3 linked regions of the Coturnix japonica genome follow. The protein of the gene in region 3 purifies or fractionates together with the protein of the main gene of each other region. This does not show direct contact. Links are inferred from orthologs where the notes say so. Each region holds a gene or a part of one and is shown on either strand. Other genes may lie near its edges.

What was found. Proteins that work in one complex are often made in the same cells at the same time.
Region 1: the proteins of ACTL6A (region 3) and PBRM1 fractionate together in Homo sapiens (co-fractionation; 4 studies listed by BioGRID and IntAct, with this or other methods). This does not show direct contact. The link is inferred for Coturnix japonica from reciprocal best matches to the Homo sapiens genes ACTL6A and PBRM1.
Region 2: the proteins of ACTL6A (region 3) and ARID1A purify together in Homo sapiens (affinity purification with mass spectrometry; 5 studies listed by BioGRID and IntAct, with this or other methods). This does not show direct contact. The link is inferred for Coturnix japonica from reciprocal best matches to the Homo sapiens genes ACTL6A and ARID1A.

The regions. Positions count from the first base shown.
Region 1 is NC_029527.1:336,327-340,645, forward strand, and holds part of PBRM1 (protein polybromo-1), read right to left. Parts: intron 3,784-4,319; coding exon 3,628-3,783; intron 1,407-3,627; coding exon 1,336-1,406; intron 190-1,335; coding exon 1-189. UniProt on the Homo sapiens protein: Involved in transcriptional activation and repression of select genes by chromatin remodeling (alteration of DNA-nucleosome topology). Required for the stability of the SWI/SNF chromatin remodeling complex SWI/SNF-B (PBAF).
Region 2 is NC_029538.1:45,538-49,829, reverse strand, and holds the end of ARID1A (AT-rich interactive domain-containing protein 1A), read left to right. Parts: intron 1-224; coding exon 225-1,784; 3' UTR 1,785-3,180; downstream 3,181-4,292. UniProt on the Homo sapiens protein: Involved in transcriptional activation and repression of select genes by chromatin remodeling (alteration of DNA-nucleosome topology).
Region 3 is NC_029524.1:15,354,436-15,359,312, forward strand, and holds the start of ACTL6A (actin-like protein 6A), read right to left. Parts: upstream 3,066-4,877; 5' UTR 2,928-3,065; coding exon 2,903-2,927; intron 1,930-2,902; coding exon 1,853-1,929; intron 1,633-1,852; coding exon 1,458-1,632; intron 854-1,457; coding exon 753-853; intron 1-752.

The DNA of each region.
Region 1 (4,319 bases), on a different chromosome or scaffold from region 3:
ACTGTTTGATTCAGCACTGAGCCCCTCGATGTACTTCAGATAGGCTTCGGAATGAAGAAGCCTCTGTGTCTTTGGTGGAGGGGAGACGAACATGGGAGTTGAGGGCTGCTGCATGACAGGCTGAGTCGCGGGGCTCTGGCCAGGATAAGGGGGGGGTGCCTGCTGTCCTGGAGGGCCAAGGATTCCTATCTGCAACAGCAAAGAGACGGACAGATCGCATCTGGGGGAGCTGTGGGGATGGTTCGCACCGCGCATCACAGCATCCTCATACAGCAGAACTTTGGTTATAACCAAAGGTGCAACAGATTTCCCCACAGGACAGCCTCCTCCAGCCAGCCTTACCTGCTGAGCTCACTGACATGTACAGAGAGACGTGTGAACAAACCTCATTTAACAGAGAACATCACCACTACCACCATTTCTCCTCTCTTCCATTACCCCTAATTACCCCCCCTCGCACTGTTTCTATTTTACGCTTTCCGAAATTTGACCAGAAGATTTGTAATGTGCACAGCGTGGGCTTTATCTTGCTTTTGGGCTGCCTACTGCATGTAACCCAAAGCAATCCTGATCCTTGGAAGATTGGGATGATTCCCAGAATAAATGTGAATCTCAGTCAGACAAAAACTGCAGTCACAGAAATCCCCATCCCACAGAATTCCCACAGCTGCCATTTACCAGCAGTACTGAGAACTCTTAGCAGAGCCGACCTATGGTTTAAATACCTCGCTGCCGTGACAAACACACTCTATTGCCTTCTTACTCAGCTTCTGTTTTTCCTTACACCCTCTCACCAAATGCAAGTGTGATCCATAAAACTCAGCGTGATGAACATTTAACCCATGTTTACATTGAGAACAAACTGATCATCACCGGCATCAAAACTCCCAGACATAAATGGCCGATGAACATCTGCTTTGTTGGTGAGTAAGATCTGGGAGAAACTGAACAGTTTTTCTCCATTAAGCCATGGCTAAGAAAGTGGACAGCACCTGCTCTGCATCTCCAATGCATGCAAAGCCCAAACTGCCAGCAGCTTAACTGTGTGTTTACGTGACTTGTATTAGCTCAGCAGAAAGGAAAAGAAACCTGTTTTGCTTATATTGCAGAACTTATCCCACCGGGCAGAACCCAATTAGTCCAATAACAAATCAACCAAGAAATACAAACAGGCACTGAGAGAGAGGTATTAACTGGTTCTGAATATAGTGGTGTGCATCTGGGGTTCCTGTTCTCTCTGCAAAAAGCTGTGTGCATTCCTTATGTCTTAACTGTTTAAATGCTAATCCAGACCTTTGGAGCCTCACAAATAATGCAAGAAGGACTCACACTCACCTGCTGTCCAAAGGGACCTGCGCCGGGGGCTGGAGTGCCTACCATGGGGGACACATTTTGGCCTATAACACCTATATTCCAAAATATACAACGATTAGTCTTACTTCAGAGCAGAGAGAAATACCTCTTTGGTCTTCTACAGTGCACATTCAGACTGAAATCATTGCTTAAAGCTACTTTGGGAACATTCAAACATCCCGCTTTCCCACAATAAGGAACACCTTGTTATTTTCTGTATGAACAACAAAAAAGGCACCAGAACAACTCCCAGCACTGATGTGCGGCCTGCTGGATTTCATTTCACTACAGCAATGCAAAGCTTCCTTTTCTCCTTTACGCAGTGTGGCCTGGCTACTTCATTTCCTTCATTACACCTTTGGCTTGACATAATCCTCCTGAAATCCTCATGAAGGGAAAAGCTGATTTGCGTTAGCAACACCCAACATTTCCTGGTGTTTAATGGTATAAAATACACCCATGGCAGGAAGAAAGCCAAGCCACTGCATAACTTCTGCATATAAATATGTACATAGATAAAACACCACGTACAGGTTCAGCTTGAATAGTCTCATACGAGACACAGGAAAATATTAGAAAAACGAAAGCACAAAGGCAGGTCAGTTTTTTCCCCAGCTCTACAAAGAGGCTTTTCCCTACCACATGGATATCCCCATGTACAGACCACAGTGTGCAGCCCCTGCTATTAGGCATACATTAAAATAAGCCATGCGTGTTGCCGCTTCTTTCTCTCCATGCCACTTTTTGTTTTAATTCCTTCATTTCAAAAGATGCCAAATAATAATTAAGAGTCTTCCTAAGGCTTGAATTTGCAGGCAGGTTTCTGCATCAGTGACCAGGAGCCGTGTCACTGCGCTCTTCATGCTAAAGCAGACTTCACGTTGATTTTCCATTCGATTACAACCCCCCATCTGAAATGCACCTGTACTAAGTCAGAAGTCGGGAAAAACACCAACAGTGCGAGCTGTGGGATGCAGCACTGATCTTTGTTGTGGTACAAAGGGAACAGGTCCGGAGGGGACACCCTCACCTGCCTCACCCTGAGCCCACCCAGCCCCATCTAACACCACCCCCATCCCTGGCACTGCTTTGCTCACACACGCAGCTCAGCTGGAAACACTGTGCAAAGAAACGTGCTGTCCCAGAGTCGCCTCCCAATATCTGTATGCTGCTGCTGCTGCTGCTGTGTGCTTACATGTCAGCACCACGGTGAGCTGCAGGCAAGCTCAGACATAGCACTTATCCTACCCTATGTGAATTTATGGTGATCCTTGCCTACTGGCGAAGATGCAAACTAACACTGACGGGTTGAAAAACAAACAAAAGCAAGCAAACAACATCCAACCATCACAGCGATCTGCAGACATACAGCTCCAACAGGGCTTCCATCAACACAGCTGCAGAGGGGCAGGGGAGGCAAACAGCACTTCTGCCCATGGCTTGTTTAACTGCCGAATGGATGCAATGCACATCTCTAACAGCCACCTGAGTCAGCAGAGGTAACTACTGGAAGAAGCCACAGGCAACTGGATGAGAGGGCAGGTGAGCATTTTTCCCCACAAAATGGCCACTATTGGCATTAAAGCCAGAAAATGTGGTATGATTTGTTCAGCCTTACCTGTCAACAACAGGGTGGCAAGAAAATAGCAAATGTGGAGTAAACGTGCTTTCAAAAAATCAGAGTTTGGTCCCAGTAGCAGTCAGTTCACCTCACTGCCAACAGCTCCCAGCTCCAGCTGCAAGGCACAACCCACACACAGTTTCATAGTAACATACAGTGGTGTGCAGTGGCCGATGGGTCCGACACCTCTGGGTGCATCAAAGTGCATCCAGAACGTTCATCAGCTCATACACTGAAAATGAGCTCAGTAAGAAATGAGGGAACACATTTCATTTCAAATTCCGTTTGAAATTCACTTATTTCACTCCAGTGTGGAGAGGGTGGCACAGGGATACGAACAAGCCGACTGCGGGTTGTCAGACATTTGGTAATTCTCAGGTATTTTTTTGGCTGGTACAAAAGCACTGATGGAGCAGCCTCACATTTCTCCAGTGGCCTTTTGCTGTTCCTCTACCAGGTGTGTATTCTGCCAATGGAATCGCTTTGCACCCCCCCTGCACTCAGCAATGCACCATCTGTGCTGCAGTTAAACAAACCTGCAGAAACAATTCACTGCGCTACCATCCAAACAAGCTGCAGGTAATTCCTGTAACAACCGTTAAACAGCACGTACATGACAATGAAACACAGAGCCAATGAGGATGAGTTCTTACCGGGCGGCGGGATGCCTGGGATGCCTGGCATACCTGGCGGGAGTTGGTGGGGTGGGGGCACCCCTGGGTGAAGTGGCTGCATGCTGCCCATGCTAACAATGCCATCAACTGGGCCCTGCAAAGGTGGCAGCACCGGTGGATAGCCACTTATCATGCCTTGAGGGACACAACAAATTTCAAACATGCATCAATGACATGCAATATGATCTATACAGTAAATCATGCACTATGCACAAAACAATAAAATGAAATCGAAAGCACCCTTAGTACAGCAAGACGAGACTACAATTAGTGTATCTCGAAAATGAAATACAGTTACCGATATGAGACACTACGCTGTGGATGAATTAGTATTTAGTGTATTCGTACATTTCTCATGGGGGCAACAAATGCTGAATACTGAGACGTGTTAACACGAGGAATAAACTCAGCCACAATTAAATGTTACTAACAAGCGCTTTTAACACAGCTCAAAGCTCTGCCATCTGCATACAGGTTGCAAACACGACACTGACTACACGAGCCCTGCACACCGCCTGGCGCGTGGGCCGGCTCAGAGACCTGACCACAACAAACAAAGATCTGTACGTTTTTCTGCAGCGCGTATGCAAAATTTACACTGAAAAGCCCTGGGACACTCATATAGTTAAAATGGAACGTGGTGACAGGGGTGACTGTTCTCACACCATGTT
Region 2 (4,292 bases), on a different chromosome or scaffold from region 3:
AGTCAGGGTCTGTTTTCCCCTTGTTTCTGTTCTCAGAGGACAGAAAGCTCTCTTCTGCTAACAGCTTATTGCCAGCATGAACAGATCTCATTAATGAACAGCATTACTTAAGATCTCTGCCCTTAATGCAGTATTTTTCCAGTTGTACAGTGGCCTAAGTTGCTTTATGATCACTGTTTCCTTTCTTCCTTCCTTCTCCTCCTGTTTTTTCTCCTCCCCCATAGCTGCCAGGCCTGCTGGAAGTCCTGGTGGAGTATTTCCGGCGCTGCCTGATCGAGACCTTTGGAATCCTGAAGGAATATGAGGTGGGAGACCCAGGGCAAAGAACACTATTAGATCCCCAGAGGTTCTGCAGATCTTCAGCTTCTTCTCATGAGAAAGGGGAGGAGGATGAGGAACCACGGAGCCTGAAGTATGAGGAGGAAGAAGAAGATGAGGAAGAGGAGGAGGCTGCATTTTCAAGCAAGGACAAAGCACCTCTAGAGTGCAGCGAGGAGAAATTAGTTAGTAAATTTGACAAGCTTCCGATCAAGATTGTGCAGAAGAATGACCCGTTTGTGGTTGATTATTCAGACAAGCTGGGACGAGTGCAGGAGTTTGAGAGTGGCCTGCTGCACTGGCGGATTGGTGGTGGTGACACTACTGAGCACATTCAGACCCACTTTGAGAGCAAGATGGAACTGCCTATGATTCACAAACGAGCACCTTGCGATTCTGTCTCAAGGAAACGCGCAACAGCTGAGAGCAATCCAAGCACTAGGGAAGAAGCTTTTCCATCTGACAGCTCCTCGGAGAAGAGAATAACTGCCACCATGGATGACATGATTTCAGCATGTCCAAGCTCATTATCAGGCGAGGAGGAAGAGGCCAAAGCTTCTGAAACAGAGAAGGAAAGTAAGTTTCCATTTGGCATTAGTCCAGCACAGAGTCACAGAAATATAAAAATTCTGGAGGATGAACCTCACAGTAAAGATGAGACGCCCCTCTGTACTATCCAAGACTGGCAGGACTCTCTGGCGAAGCGCTGCATCTGTGTCTCCAACATCATCAGGAGTTTGTCTTTTGTGCCTGGCAACGACACTGAAATGTCCAAACATCCAGGCTTGGTGCTGATCCTGGGAAAGCTGATTCTCTTACACCACAAGCACCCGGAGCGCAAGCAGGCACCGCAGACTTATGAGAAGGACGAAGAGGAGGACAAAGGAGTGGCCTGCAGCAAGGATGAGTGGTGGTGGGACTGCCTCGAAGTCTTGAGGGATAATACATTGGTCACATTAGCCAACATTTCTGGGCAGCTAGACTTGTCTGCTTACACAGAAAGCATCTGTTTGCCAATTTTGGATGGACTCCTCCACTGGGCAGTTTGTCCATCAGCAGAGGCTCAGGACCCCTTTCCAACGCTGGGGCCAAATGCGGTCCTCTCCCCTCAGAGACTGGTTTTGGAAACACTCAGCAAACTCAGCATCCAGGACAACAACGTGGATTTGATTCTTGCAACTCCCCCTTTCAGTCGCTTGGAGAAGCTGTACAGCACCCTGGTGCGTTTCCTAAGTGACAGAAAGAACCCAGTGTGTCGAGAAATGGCTGTGGTACTACTGGCCAACTTGGCACAAGGGGACAGCCTGGCAGCAAGAGCAATTGCTGTGCAGGAGGGGAGCATTGGCAACTTGCTGGGTTTCTTGGAGGACAGCCTGGCTGCCACGCAGTTCCAGCAGAGCCAGGCCAGCCTGATGCACATGCAGAATGCGCCCTTTGAGTCGACAAGTGTGGACATGATGCACTGAGCTGCTCGGGCACTGCTCGCCCTGGCCAAGGTGGACGAGAACCACTCAGAGTTCACGTTGTACGAGTCGCGGCTGTTGGACATCTCCGTGTCGCCTTTGATGAACTCTTTGGTTTCACAAGTTATTTGTGATGTACTATTTTTAATTGGCCAGTCATGACAGCTGTGGGATCCGAGACCCTGTGTGCGTGTGCGTGCGTGGAAAACTTAGAAACTGACTGTTGCCCTTTATTTATGCAAAACCACCTCAGAATCCACTGTCTGCCCTGCGCTGTCCTGCTTCTCCCTGGGGCAAAGATGTCCCCATACCCTTTCCCCTTCCCCTGCCCTTCAGATTTGTCCTGAATCCCTTATTAAAGGAGACAAAGTTCTGTCTACATAGAAGACTTTTTTTTGTTGTTTTTTTTATTTTAACCAAAGTTACTGTCGTTTACAGTGAGTTTGGGGAGAATGACTTGCCGTGTTATCACATTGACAGGCTCCACTTTCATAACTGTTTTTAATGGTAAACTCTGAAGGACAAAAGTGACTGCTGAACTCTGTGGTTTATCATTGTATATTCACAATCTTGCAGGAACCAAGAAGTTACCAATTGTGAACAGACCTTGTCCAAGGGAGGCCTGTGCAGTAGCGTGTAGAACTTCATGTACTGTACACCTTAAACTGTAAACATACTGTAATACCGTCTCACAAGGAAAAAGAAAAAAACGCTGGATCAGCAGCAAGCTGTAGTTTTTAAAAATGTTTTTAGTTAATGTTGAGAAGAAAAAAGGCTTTTCCCCCAAAGTATCATGTGTGAACCTACAACACCCTGACCTCTTTCTCTCTTCCTCCTTGATTGTATGAATAACCCTGAGATCACCTCTTAGAACTGGTTTTAACCTTTAGCTGCAGCCTGAATGCTGCCACGTGTGTATATATCTATGACGTTGTACATTGCACATACCCTAAGAATCCTTGCAGTTTTGTTTGCCTTTTCCCACCCCTTTCTAGTATGACGAGTTAACGAGTTGATGACCTGCAAAAGCGAGACACAATTATTTAATCTCTTGCCAGACATCCCTCCCTGGAGGATGCTGTACAGGTCTCCATGTATAAAGTCATTGCTGTCTCAGCAGCCAATCAACTTATACTTTATTTTTCCTGTTTTTGTTTTCTTTCTAATCGAGGTGTGAAAAAGTTCTAGGTTCAGTTGAAGTTCCTGATGAAGAAACACAATTGAGATTTTTTCAGTGATGACTTCTGCATATTTGTATTTCAGACGATGTAGCTAAAAACTTGATGTAAATTCCTCCCTTTTTTCCTTTTTTGGCTTAATGAATATCATTTATTCAGTATGAAATCTTTATACTATATGTTCCACGTGTTAAGAATAAATGTACATTAAATCTTGGTAAGATGTTTGTAAGGGTTTTCTTTATTAGCAGAGCACAGGGCTGACCTTGTTGCTGTTGGGCCCTATAGGTGTGGTGTTGAAGGTCAGTTTTGTTACCATGCAGGAAGGAGGCCTCAAAGCTCCAGTACAGCATCTTGTTTGTCAGCACAGCCAGGTAACAGAGCAGCACCTTGCCCTGAGTTGCCAGTGCTGTGTGGTCTGGCTTTCCTTCTCTGCTGGGCTTGCATCATGTATGCTCCAGGAGGGTGGATCTGCTGTGTGAGGTGAAGCTCTGGCGTGGAAGAACAGACATATGGCTCTCAGGGTGGAGAAGGGAATTGCTCTGAAGGGAGGCACATTTCCCTGTCAGCTCTCTAAAATGGACAGTTTTCACTCCCCTTGCATTTTTCACTCAGTTTTGGAATTGTGATGTGGACTTGGGCATCTTCCAAGGATGGGGTTTTCCAGTAGATCTGATGCCCTTCAGCACATGGCCAGAGTTCAGGCTCTTCATGTGGAGGCCTGCACGTTTTCATGGTTAGTAAATGGATATTTTTTCATCCTCCAATGACAATAGCAGCTGGCCAACTAGAACTGCACTGAGCTCACTTAAGCAAAAGTGTCAGAGGAGAGAGAGGCTTGGCATGGATTCCTTTCCTCTTAGGAATTCCATTTTAAGGACTCTCCCAGACAAGCCAGAGGCGAGGAGCTCCTGCAGTTTCGGCTGGTAAACACTTCAGAAGAAAGTCTGTTTGATTCAGGCATTATTCCTCACAGAAATCTGAACGTCAGGAGTACAGTGAAGGGCTGAGGGAACTGCGAGCTTTGGAGGAGGGGGCTGGGGGGAAAAAGGCGGTGAGACAGAAAAGCCTCTCTCTCCTCTGGAAAAACAAGTGGTGTGATGGAGTTTGTTGGTGTTTGCCGATCTGTGATGTGACTCTTGGTTTGAAACCCACTTCTCTGATAACTGAGTTCTGTATTCCAGGAGCTTTGTTTAATCAGCCTGAATTAAAAACTACAGAAGAGTTTAATCAGAGGAGTTTCATCAGAGGAGCTGAGCAGCTGCAGGAGGTGACGGCAGCAGCTTCTGCACATCCTCTGTGTTACGTTTTGGTGAATTTAGTCATGAGCGAA
Region 3 (4,877 bases):
AGAACCAGCCCAAATAGAGCAGCCATAGACACAGACATGAAGGAAAAAAAACTACTTATCCTTAGAAGCTTCAGGTAAAAGGGATCCCCAACAAAAGACTCTCACTGCCAACCCTTAAATTAGGTCTAGGAAGGGGTTGGTACATTGAATGCATCCCTGAGTTGGCCCTGCCCAGTGATTGAGGTGCTCAATCACTGCTTCAAGCTGTGACTCAGCACTTCCACAACTAAATGACAGAAACTTTGTTCACGTTTTTCTCCAGAAATCTGTGTTCATGCACCTCATTTATGTTACAGGAGCATTTGCTGAAACGAAATTAAAACTCCACTACACGTGTTATTCCCTGTCACGTTAGATGGCAGGCTGATTGCATGCAAAGATGGATTAAGTGTAATATATGAAGACATTCAGACAACTTTTTGCTTTTATTCTGTGCTGTCAAGTGAGGTTATTTTTGATTTTATACTACTTTTTTTTTTTTTTTTTTAAATACATGAAATACAGTAACACATAGTAAGTGTGTTCTAATGAAACGCATAGAAATTCTTTCAAATTTGGGCTTTTTTTTGACATTTTTCCTATTGAGAATACTTTCCAGAACCTGCATGATATTTTTAAATGTTACTTCTGTAGTTCAGTTTTAACACTCATAACCTACAAGCCAGTGCTGGGTTTCTCCAAGACTAATGTCTATAGATTCAGCAAGAAGATACTGATAAGTCTCCTCACAATGCAAAGCTCCTTTTACTCACTGGTGCTTCAGACATAAGGACAGGATGCAAACTCGCTTCAGATTTAATATGCATCTTGTAAGTGTGATCCAAAATTGCCTGGAAACTATCCCAGTCTTCAACTGCAACGACATCGAAGCAAGCAGATTAGTTACTTCTAACTTTTGATCTACTTCATAAATCCACATAAAGTTTTCCTGATGTTTTTTTTTTTCCTAAGAGCTCTTCAGACAAAAGCCGTCCTCAGCAGCCCTATACCCCTCCTGCTTTGCCAAATTCTCATCTATATTTTTTTAAGCATCATGACAGCAAATAAGAATTGTTATTATAAATAATAATAAATAAATAAGTTACAATAAAAGTCCACTGACATTTTGTAAATTGAGCCATTCTTATGGCTGATAGCCTCTGTCCATACACGTTACAGGAACAATATTAGGAACTATTTCCAAAAACTTGTTTCTTAATTGTTTTATCAAAGGAGACAGCTAAATTAAAGCCATCAAATAAACAAGAATCTACAAGTCTCCCATTAAGACATAAAAATGCTCATTATCGTATTAAAATATCTTAAGTGAAAGCAGAACCGTTTCTTTACGAGCCTGCTTTCTAAGTCCAAAGGAAAAAACAGTTGACATGGATAGCATCTGTTTACATGAAAGCTATGACTTGTTGCAGCCTAACAATTGTATCTTAAAGACAGCTAAAAAAGACAGAGCACCATACTCATTCCATTTTTTAAAGGTGAAATGGCCTCCATATTTTCCCTTGGGACTCTCAGGGCATTGGTGTCTATGTAGTACGTTGGGCCCCCTTGTTTGCCTTTGTCACCATCTATCTCCATCAGAGTGCTGCCATTGTCTCTTTCTAGCACCACGCCTATAGCTGTTGGAAAATCAACCTGTAAAGCAAAAGGTAAAATATTGATGAAGGTTATTCATTTTGGATGTGGGTTGTTTTGTTGGTTTTTGGTTTTGTTTTTCATTGGTTTGTTTTTTAGGGGGCTAATAAAATTCAGAGTTTTCCTTAAATAATAATAAACAGTATATTCTGGAAGCTTATGACTAATAAACAAGTTCAAGCTCCAATTGTAATCCCACTGAGTTCATAAAGATTCTTACCTTTGGACAGTCTTCGCCTGCATAGCCTGCTCTCACTGTATACGAGCCAATGTCAAAAACAAGAGCCCCAACTTCATCTGCAAAGATTGTTAACAAAGAAGTAGTGAATGGTTATTGTGCTCTACTGCAATCCTGACCTGAACTTATCTCTTGTCTGCTTTGCTTGCCAGAAAACAAACAAACAAACAAAAAAAAGCCCAATATGATAAAGCATCTTTCCTGAGACACAGAGCAATTTCTCTATTCAGAATTCAAGCTAACTGAGAGCCACCAGGAGGTTACAGATAGGCTGTAACCAGGACACTGCAATACCTTTCATTGGCAAAAGAAAAAGGGCAATTTTAACAGACGAGAGCTGCATCTAAACACAGGCTTGCGAAGCGAGTCCACATGAACTTCATGACATTCAACAAGGCCACGTACAAGGTGTTGCACAGGACTTGAGACTCAGACAGCTGGACATGAGCCAGCAGTGTGTGCTTTCAGCCTAGAAAGCCAACAGCATCCTGAGCTGCATCAGGGGAGGGGTGGCCAGCAGAGCAAGGAAGGTGACCATCCCCTTGTGCCCTGCCCTCGCCAAGTCCCATCTGTTGTACCACATTCAGGCCTGTGGCCCCCAGCATAAGAATGAGATGTTGGAGTGAGTCCAGAGGAGGGTCAAGACAATCAAAGGGCTGAAGCTCCTCTGCTATGGAGAAAGGGAGCTGGCTTTGCTTAGCTTGGAGAAGGTGCCAGTGACAGTTTGTTGCAGCCTTACAGGGAGCTTATAAACAAGAGGGAAACTGACTTTCTACATGGTTTGATAGTGACAGGACGATGGGGAATGGTTCCACACTAAAGGAAGAGATTTAGGTCGCATGTTAGGGGGCAATTTTTCAGAGAGGGCAGTGAGACCCTGGCACTGCTGTGTGTGCCCCATCCCTGCAGGTGACCCAGACGGGTCGGACGGACCCTGGGCCCGCGGCGGCCTCCTCTCCTCACACACGGAGCGATGCGGCGGGAGGGAGCCGGGCCTGAGGGAGCTCAACAGTGTCGTTATATCAGACTCACCTCCGCCGTACACACCGCCGCTCATGGCTGCCCGCTGCTCAGCGCTGTGCTAACAATAGCACTCGGTCTCTCGCCCCGCCGCCCGGCTCAGCGCAGCTCGCAGGCCCGCGCCTTCCCGCCAATGGCAGCGCCGCCGCCGTCCGCCCACCCGCCCGCACTGCAGAGCGTTACCCAACAGAACGGCTGAGTGGGCACAGCGGCCAATCAGAGAAGGGAGGGAGGAGGGGCTTGCTTATGAGTAGCCAATCATGAGGCGGGAAGTGAGGAGCTTGGTAGAGGAGAGTGAGAGCAAGCAAGTGTAGGTGCAGTGCGCGGGAAGGGCGGTGTGAGGAGAGAGGGGCGGGAGGAGCTGAGGGAGGAGTTGGAGGAGGAGCTGAGGGAGGAGCTGAGGGAGGAGCTCTTGAGGTGGGTGTGCCACAGGATCACAGAATGACCCGGGTTGGAAGGGACCACAAGGATCATGTAGTTCCAACCCCCCTGCATGGCAGGGCCACCAAACATACACCTTTACTAGATCAGGTTGCCCAGGGCCCCGTCCAACCTGGCCTTGAACACCTCCAAGGACGGGGCATCCACAACCTCCCTGGGCAGCCTGTTCCAGGGCCTGACCACTCTCCTAGTGAAGAACTTCCCCCTAACATCCAACCTAAATCTTCCCTCTTTTAACTTCAAACCATTTCCCCATGTCCTGCTATTGTCAGCCTTTTCAAAGAGTTTTATAGGTGTTTGCATGAGGAAGATCAGCACAAATCTTTCTTTGCCACTAGTTGTACTGTGTAATGTTGGTGTGCTTTGATTTATTTTATGGTGCCCTTTAATGTGTTATAGTGATTTCTAGCACGTGGCACTAATACCCAAGGTAGAGTTGGTGGAGAAGGATGAATTAATTGCAGTTGGGGAAGGCTGTAAAGCAAAATGGGTGTTAAAACACTGGGGGACGTTTCTTCAGCTTGTGCCTGTACTTGGGCTTTGTTTTCATAGTGGTTCATAACATCCCTGTGGTAACTGATGCTTTGGGGCAGACCCTGCTCTCCCCAAGAGTGGCTTATGATAGCTTTGTGGGTGAGACAGGGGGCCCAGGGGGGTTGGAACTTCATGATCCTTGAGGTCCCTTCCAACCCAGGTCATTCTGTGAGACACCAAGACAGCCGTCTGCTGCTTCATTTATCTGTAACTTTTGCAGCACTTGAGATCTCCCAGTGGTGCCAGCAGAAGAGGCGTGTGGCTGTGCAGCATGGGGAGAGGGCGTTCCTGTGCACGACCAATCTTTCCTGCTCAGCAATTGCCTGGTGCCGATAGTGAGAACTGAATGTATGCTGCAAGTCCTGCTGTTGTCTGGAAGCCTCAGGATTTGGTGAGTGCAAAGATAAGAGACTAAATCTGTGCAAAGAAGCCTGGAGGATCTGGGGAGGGAAGTTCAGGCTGTTAGCTGTCTTAGCCTTGTTTTTTTTTCCCACTGTTTTGCAGTTGTGTTGGTAGTTACATCATGCAGCATCGCCACTGTGTTAATAGTATTATACAGTGACTTTGCATTTACTTTACAACAGTGTGGTTGGCCTCTCAAAATTCAATGCAGAGGAGAAATGGAGTCCAGGAATCTTTTTTTTCAGCTTAAAGAGATGTAAATCTAAGATTATTTCATCGAATTTTTGTAGGCTATCCTATCTAGAGTTCTGCCACCACTGTGCATAATGTAACTGAATACCTTTGTTTTATTTCTTTATTTTTTGCATGTTTTCCACAGAAACAAGAGTTATAAAGTCAAAGTAAATAGAAGCATTGAATGTATTTTATCTGCCATAGCAGTGCTAGGATGCACTGGAGAGTGGAGGGGAAAAAAGAAAAGAAAAATAACCTATACTAACTATAATCTATACTATATAATAAAAAATAACCTATACTATATGCTATACTATATGCTACTACATGTTACTGAACCTGAAGTGGTTTCTGTGAATCCGAACTAGAAGACTTT